2 linked regions of the Macaca fascicularis genome follow. Each later gene encodes a partner of the first gene's protein in a complex. Links are inferred from orthologs where the notes say so. Each region holds a gene or a part of one and is shown in the gene's direction. Other genes may lie near its edges.

Evidence for each region.
Region 2: BDP1 (region 1) and BRF2 share a complex: the UniProt entries of both Homo sapiens proteins name them as parts of the TFIIIB complex. The link is inferred for Macaca fascicularis from reciprocal best matches to the Homo sapiens genes BDP1 and BRF2.

What each region holds. Positions count from the first base shown.
Region 1 is NC_088380.1:75,497,602-75,501,417, forward strand, and holds part of BDP1 (transcription factor TFIIIB component B'' homolog), read left to right. Parts: intron 1-774; coding exon 775-811; intron 812-1,293; coding exon 1,294-1,386; intron 1,387-3,810; coding exon 3,811-3,816. UniProt on the Homo sapiens protein: General activator of RNA polymerase III transcription. Requires for transcription from all three types of polymerase III promoters. Requires for transcription of genes with internal promoter elements and with promoter elements upstream of the initiation site.
Region 2 is NC_088382.1:41,227,178-41,231,554, reverse strand, and holds the start of BRF2 (transcription factor IIIB 50 kDa subunit), read left to right. Parts: upstream 1-1,264; 5' UTR 1,265-1,357; coding exon 1,358-1,511; intron 1,512-2,483; coding exon 2,484-2,543; intron 2,544-3,666; coding exon 3,667-3,988; intron 3,989-4,377. UniProt on the Homo sapiens protein: General activator of RNA polymerase III transcription. Factor exclusively required for RNA polymerase III transcription of genes with promoter elements upstream of the initiation sites.

The sequences.
Region 1 (3,816 bases):
GTACTTTTCTTGTGATGTCAGGAGCTGAAGTCCTACTCCCCTAGGGAAAAATGCTCTCCAGGTGGGACCTTGGGGACCGGGGGCCTTGTATTTTTGGGTGCAGCAGTTTGAGGTGGAGTCTCTGCCATGCTGAGCTGGGAGGAAGGAGAGAGAGAGCAGTTTTGGTTCACATAGACTCTCACCTTTGTTAGCAAATTTTCAGATTTTCTTGAACAGATATTTCTTCGTTTGCTTTTTGTCGCTAGGATCATTTTCAGAGGCTGTTAAATGTTTTGTTTTTAAAATCGGTTTCACTGAGGAGTGGGTCAGTGAAGCTTCTCAAGCTGTCGCTCTGGACATTGGTTCTGTAACTTCTTAATTTATTAAAATGCGTTTAAGTTTTAAGCTACGTAGGATTATAAAAATTTTGCAATACCCTTCAGGCCTTGGTTTCCATTGGTAAAAATTGGCAGCAGATATGACTAGAGTTGAAGGATTATGAAAATGAAGAAGTAAAGTAAGAATGGTAGACATACATAACAATATGATAAGAGTTAAAATTTGCACATAATACAATATAAAGATAAAATCAGGAGCAAGAGACACAAAAATTTTGCCTTTAAATTATTTCTGTTCTTGCTGGTGAAATTTTGTGAATAATTATAAATTAAGACAAACCAGTTTATGCTATTGTAACTCAAAGTATGGAAAGACCTCTAAAAATGTAGTGCGTGTTGAGAAACAGAACATGTTTGGAGAAATATTTAAGATATTACTTATTTTTTTCATTTTTAGGAAATGACCACAGGTGAACATATCCAAGATGAACCAGGTAACTGTTATCAAGGAAACTGCTAAGACTACCTTGATTAACACTAGTACAATCATTTAATAGTGGGGATAATAAATGAATCAGTTTGCTGGAGAGTTTAACAAAAAGATTCAGCTATTGAATGTGTTATCTCTGTGAGAAATGTGGATTCTTAGAATGTTATTTTAGAAGGTGAATTAAAAGTTAAATGTTTAAGAAATATTTGAGCGTTTCCTCTGGATCTGTACAAATGGGAGAGCATTTTCCTTGAAGATATTATTTAATGGGAGGGAGGCATGGTCAGTGAGTCAAAACCAACAGTGATGATTTATTTATCTGTAACATATAACCTGAACAAAAGACTACCCTATTAAGGGATTAATGGTTCAGAGGATATTGGAATCTGCTACTAGGAGATAAACACCTCAATTAAAAATATTTTTTAAGTGAACAGATTTCCAGATTCATTCTTTTGTTTTAATGTTGATATATTTCCTCACAAGGTACCAGTGATGGAAGCACTGAAGCTGCAATAACTTTACTTACAATGGGAGATCTAGTATTGCAATCAGAGATCAGTACTGAACAGGGTGATGGTAAGAATGAAAGCTAAGTCCTACCAAAAATAGAAACTTTTAAAACCTAACTTTTAAGAAATTATACCCACATTTGGCCGGGCGCGGTGGCTCAAGCCTGTAATCCCAGCACTTTGGGAGGCCGAGACGGGCGGATCATGAGGTCAGGAGATCGAGACCATCCTGGCTAACACAGTGAAACCCCGTCTCTACTAAAAATACAAAAACTTAGCCGGGCGAGGTGGCAGGCGCCTGTAGTCCCAGCTACTCGGGAGGCTGAGGTAGGAGAATGGCGTGAACCCGGGAGGCGGAGCTTGCAGTGAGCTGAGATCCGGCCACTGCACTCCAGCCTGGGTGACAGAGTGAGACTCCGTCTCAAAAAAAAAAAAAAAAAAAAAAAGAAATTATACCCACATTTGAGTAATAACCCTTTTACATTTGAAGTTGTCTCCATTTTGTTGTTCTTCCATAAAATGTGATATGTATATATTGATCTATCCACTATTTGACTACTGTTTAGGTATAGTGACAGCCAATTCAAGATCGTACACTTGGTTTATTAAGAATAATTTGTATTCAAGCCGGGCATGGTGGCTCACACCTGTAATCCCAGCACTTTGGGAGGTCAAGGCGGGTGGATCAGGAGGTCAGGAGATCAAGACCATCCTGGCTAACACTGTGAAACCCCATCTCTACTAAAAATACAAAAAATTAGCCGGTCATGGTGGCGGACGCCTATAGTCCCAGCTACTTGGGAGGCTGAGGCAGGAGAATGGCGTGAACCTGGAACCTGGGAGGTGGAGCTTGCAGTGAGCCGAGATTGCACCACTGCACTCCAGCCTGGGCAACAGAGCGAGACTGTGTCTCAAAAAATAAACAAACAAACAAATAAATAAATAAAAAGAATAATTCATATTCATGGAATAGTTGCTCTAGTGAATACTGCCATTACCATCATGAATGTCATTGGTTAACTGAGCTCATTGATCATTGATCACTTTATACATGTGTCTTTAGCCAAGGAGTTGCTGCTTGGGATGGTATTCACAATTAGATGACAAATACGGTACAAAGAGACAATAGCACTCATTGAAATAATTTAGTTTAAACTGTTCTCAGTTTGGACAGAGCCAAAAGATTTATCAACCAAGATTTTTAATTTATTAGACGGAAATCACAGACAGGTGATAAATCTTTACTATCTAACTATCTTTTAAGTGCATGAAATGAGTAATTATACTATTCCTGGTAATTATTTTGCTTGGTTATGAGTACTCTACCGTTCATTTTATTTACTTATTTATTTGAGACGGAGTTTGATTATGAGTAGCCTACCATTCATCTTTATTTATTTATTTATTTGAAGCAGAGTCTCACTTTTGTCACCCAGGCTGGAGTGCAATGGCGCAATCTCGGCTCGCTGCAACCTCTGCTGCCCAGGTTCAAGCAACTCTCCTGCCTCAGCCTCTCGAGTAGTTGGGATTACAGGCACCTGCCACCATGCCCAGCTAATTTTTGTGTTTTTAGTGGAGTTGGGGTTTCACTTGGCCAGGCTAGTCTCGAACTCCAGACCTCAGGTGATCCATCTGCCTTGGCCTCCCAAAGTGCTGGGATTACAGGCATGAGCCACTGCGCTAGCCTCCATTCATTTTAAGTAATAGACTTTTGGGCCGGATGCGGCAGCTCAAGCCTATAGTCCCAGCACTTTGGGAGGCCAAGGCTGGTGAATGCTTGACTTCAGGAGTGGAACTCTGTCTCTATAAAAAATACAAAAAATTAGACAGGCATGGTGGTGTACGCCTGTAGTGCTAGCTGCTTGGGAAGCTGAGGTGAGAGGATCGCTTGAGCTCAGGAGGTCAAGACTGCAGTGAGCTGAGATCGTGCCACTGCACTCCAGCCTGGGTGACAAAGTGAGACCCTGTCTCCAAAGTAGATAGGTAAAAACGTATTAGACTTTTAGGCTTGGAACCATATATTTATCAGGAAAGTCTCTGGTTTGTGTTCTGTATAGGGCTCCTTTCTTAGTGGCAGAGTATTGCAGTAGAGCCTGTCAGAAACATATAGAACATAAAGTACACATAGAACATAAAGGTTTTAAAAATCTTAAATGCTGGCAGTGCCGTCTATCTTGAAATCCATCTGAGATTATATAATTACTCAAAATAACAAAAGGACTCATTTTTACTAATAATTGCATAAAATTTCAGTCTATAAGGATTATTAAGCTCACAATAGGTCAAATCCCTGGCATGAAATAGGGAGATCATAAATTTAAATTTATAGCCAACAAGAGCAAACTTTATTTATTTTTTAAATCTTTTTCTATTGCTGCCACACAAATGAAGCAAACTTTAATAATACAGAATTTTACAGTTACTAAATGTTGAAGAATTTATTTTGAGCATCTAATTTGGTCCATTTTAATTTTTTTTTTTTTTTCTTCAGTAGGGG
Region 2 (4,377 bases), on another chromosome or scaffold:
CATCCTATATCTCACGCTAGTGGGGAGGTCTAGAAAAGGGTGGGGGGCTTGGACTGCCAAAGCCCACCATTATTAATGTCCTGAAGCCCCCTTCTGTTATGATACTAAAGTAATTCAAATGGAAGAGAAAGGACCCTTGGGTATTATTGTGTCCCTTGGCCCTCCAATGTGATCAAGCCCCATGGGAATGGATGGGATGTCTTTGAAAAGGAGTAGTGATTCTCACACTCTGAGAAAGCAGTCTCTTAGGGAGGGGATGGTGTTTTTAGGTTTGGATATCACGCGTAAAAACTGGGTGTGGAAAAGAAGGGACTGGCACTTCATAAAGGTATGTTTTGTTTTGTTTGAGACGGAGTCTCGCTCTGCCACCCAGGCTGGAGTGCAGTGGCGCGATCTCAGCGCACTGCAACGTGCGCTTCCTGGGTTCAAGCGATTCTCCTGCGTCAGCCTCCCGAGTAGCTGGGATTAGAGACGTGCACCACCACGCCCAGCTAATTTTTGTGTATTTTCAGTAGAGACGGGATTTCACCATGTTCCCCAGGCTGGTCTCAAACTCCCGAGCTCAGGTGATCCACCTGCCTCGGCCTCCCAAAGTGCTGGGATTACAGGCGTGAGCCACCACGCCCGGCTAGCTCAAGGTTTTTTTTAAGGAACATCTGAATCCGCGTGCTTGCACTCCTCCAGGTTGCCAAAAGCTCCATCACTCCACATTCGTTCACTCCAAACTCCTTTAGACATTCCTGCCTGGCCTCCAAAAGCATTTGGGTTTGCCACTCCGGATTTTATTTCAACTTCCTCATTTTACAGTTGAGAAAAACAGGAGGTAAAGAGAGGAAGGTACCTGCTTTAGGAAGCAGCTCTGGAAAGCAGAACACAGTTTCCTGCTCTCGCTCTCTCTCCACTACTCTCCCTTTAAAAAATATACTTTCTTCTATGGCCAAATTAAACATTCATTACCAACCTGCGATTGCCTTAGGACTTTAAAAGGAGGGTTGTTCAGGGGTGACAACAATCTCCTGTCTATTATACGTGTCCATGTAGGCAGAAACCTACCCAAATTCAAGCCCCAGTCTGGGTCCCAAAAACTAACTACACAGAGCAGGGAAACCAGAGAGCTACAGTTCAGACCAGGAACCTCCTCTCCTAGCTCACGTTTCTACCCGAGCCCGCGGAGGAACCGACCGGAAGTGGCGCTCAGCCTCCCCGCGGAGGGAACCGCCTATCCCGCCGTGGCGCTGGCCGGAAGACGAAGGTGCAACCCTCTGAAGGGTCCCCTCCTACTTTTTGCTGCCGCACGGTTGCTGTTGCAGACGCAGGAGTCTCCGAAGGCTTCCGCGGCTTTGGGGCCGGTTGTGAGATGCCAGGCAGAGGCCGCTGCCCTGACTGCGGCTCCACGGAGCTGGTGGAAGACTCACACTATTCGCAGAGCCAGCTGGTGTGCTCCGACTGCGGCTGCGTGGTCACCGAGGGGGTCCTGACCACTACCTTCAGCGACGAGGGCAATCTCCGAGGTACTTGTGGCCCTGGGGACAGCCTGGGGCGGTGGAGGGATTAACATCAGATTCCTTTTGTCTCCCCGCTCCCCCCGCATACTCCTAACTGTAACGCGCACTCCTAATATGAGAGAAAATGACCTAAAGTGAGCGAGGGAGCCGAAGGAGATGGGGGCTGCCATTCATCTGTGTTTTTCCAGCACTTAGTGTAGGGCATAGATGGAGAGGGTAATAAATGTTGAGTAAGTGACACAGAAAGTTCCACTCATCTTGCCATATCTGGTCATTGTGGAAGGATTGCCGATATGATTATAGCATGTATTATTACCCTGAAATAGTTTTAAGCACAAACTGGAAAAACATTACTTTGCTTTGCTTTCCAAGTTTCTGACCATGGCAGCCCTCAAAATCTGCAGCCATTGTCTGGGTGGAGTGGCTTAAGCCTGTAATCCCAGCGCTTTGGGAGGCAGAGCCGAGAGGAATGCTTGAGCCCAGGAGTTCAAGACCAGCCTCGGCAACGTAACGAGATACTTGCCTAAAAAAAAAAAATTAAGAATTAGCCAGGTGTGGTGGCATACACCTGTAATCCCAGCTACCCAGGAGTCTGAGTTAGGAGGCCTGCTTGAGCCTGGGAATTGAAGGCTGCCGTGAGCTATGATTGCACCACTGCACTCCAGCCTGGGCTATAGAGGGAGACTCCTTAAACAAACAACAAAAAAAAATCTGCTACTAGAAAAATTGCCTGTATGGAATGTACTGGAAGGATGACTGGAAATTTGGAACACTTGGAGCTGCTTTAGTGCAGTCCTCACCTTTCCCAGTCTCTGTGTATTCGGAACCGCTTGTAGACAGAAAATCAGATGGGGCCTTTAACTGTGCAGCAGCAGATGCTCAATGATTTGAATTCTGCGTCCTGGTTTTGTGTGGTGGGAGGGCAGGGGTCTGATGTATAAAGGCTAAGCACACTATTTGTTGTTTATTATTTTACAGAGGTAACATATTCCCGAAGCACAGGGGAAAATGAACAAATTAGTCGCAGCCAGCAACGAGGTGAGAATTGACCTTTTACAACACAGTAGCTTTAAAGAAAACTATCCTAGGCTGGGTGCTGTGGCTCACGCCTGTAATCTTGTAATCTCAGCACTTTGGGAGGCCAAGGCAGGTGGATCACCTGAGGTCAGGAGTTCGAGACCAGCCTGGCAAACATAGCGAAACCCCATCTCTACTAAAAATACAAAAATTAGCTGGGCATGGTGGCTCGTACCTGTAGTCCCAGCTACTTGGGAGGCTGAGGCAGGAGAATCACTTGGACCTGGGAGGTAGAGATTGCAGTGAGCTGAGATTGTGCCACTGCACTGTAGCCTGGGTGACAGAGTGACAGTCTGTCTCAAAAAAATAATAATTAAAAAAAGAAAACTATCCTGGTGGCCTAGTCCAGCTTTTCACTTTTCCTATTTTCAGCATTGCTGGTGTGAGGTAGAGTAGAAGAGAATGGTAATTAGGAATTTAAAATGGGGATGGTGGCTGACACCTGTAATCCCAGACTTTGGGAGGCTGAGACAGGCAGATCGCTTGAGGCCAGGAGTTCAAGACCAGCCTGGCCAACATGGTGAAACCCCGCCTCTACTAAAAATACAAAAATTAGTTGGGCCTGGTGGTGCACACCTGTTATCCCAGCTACTCGGGAGGCTGAGGCAGGAGAATCGCTTGAACCCAAAAGGAGGAGGTTTCAGTGAGCCAAGATGGCACCACTGCACTCCAGCCTGGGCAACTGAGCCAGACTCTGTCTCAGAAAATAAAATAAATGAAATAAAATGAAATAAAATAAAACAGGGATGGTTCTGAGAGAGGCAGCAATTCAGTATAAGGTTTGGGTTTGATCAGATGTATGTTTGAGGTAGCCTTTAAGAGCCTGGATAAAACTGGCTTGGCCCTGAATCAAATCAGCCTGCAAAAACTAGTGGGCTGAAATGTGACTTCTTTACACAGATGTTTTTGTGTCTTTAGAATGACTGTACCAAGTGTCACTCCTGTCTATCCAGAAAGGTACATAATTTGTGCGTCTGATATCTGAGGCAAGTTTAGCAGATCTAAATGAGTCCTAGCAGAATTTTCTAGGAGGTGCCCGATAGCTCCTTTGACCCCTCTAACTTTTGCTGTGGGTTTTTCCTAGGTCTCCGCCGAGTGAGAGACCTTTGTCGAGTTCTGCAGTTGCCACCAACATTTGAGGACACCGCGGTTGCCTACTACCAACAGGCATACCGGCACTCTGGCATCCGAGCAGCCAGGCTGCAAAAGAAGGAGGTGTTGGTTGGGTGCTGCGTCTTAATCACCTGCCGACAGCATAACTGGCCCCTAACAATGGGAGCCATCTGCACGCTGTTGTATGCAGATTTGGATGTGTTTTCTAGCATTTACATGCAGATAGTAAAGCTCCTGGGACTGGATGTGCCATCTCTGTGCTTGGCAGAACTGGTGAAGACCTATTGCAGCAGGTACCTTCCTGGTGGGAGACAGTAGGATGGGATGGAATGGGTCCTTAGACCTGAATCCTTTGACCTTTGGCCATCTCTCTTTTTTTTTTTTTTTTTTCTTGAAACGGAGTCTCGCTCTTGTCACCCAGGCTGGAGTGCAGTGGTGTGATCTCAGCTCACTGCAACCTCCACCTCCTGGGTTCAAGCTATTCTCCTGCCTCAGCCTCCAGAGTAGCTGGGATTACAGGTGCCTGCCACCATGCCCAGCTAATTTTTCTTTCTTTCTTTTTTTTTTTGCATTTTTAGTAGAGACAGGGTTTCACCATGTTGGCCAGGCTGATCTCAAATTCCTGACCTCAGGTGATCCGCCCGCCTTGGCTTCCCAAAGTGCTGGGATTACAGGCGTGAGC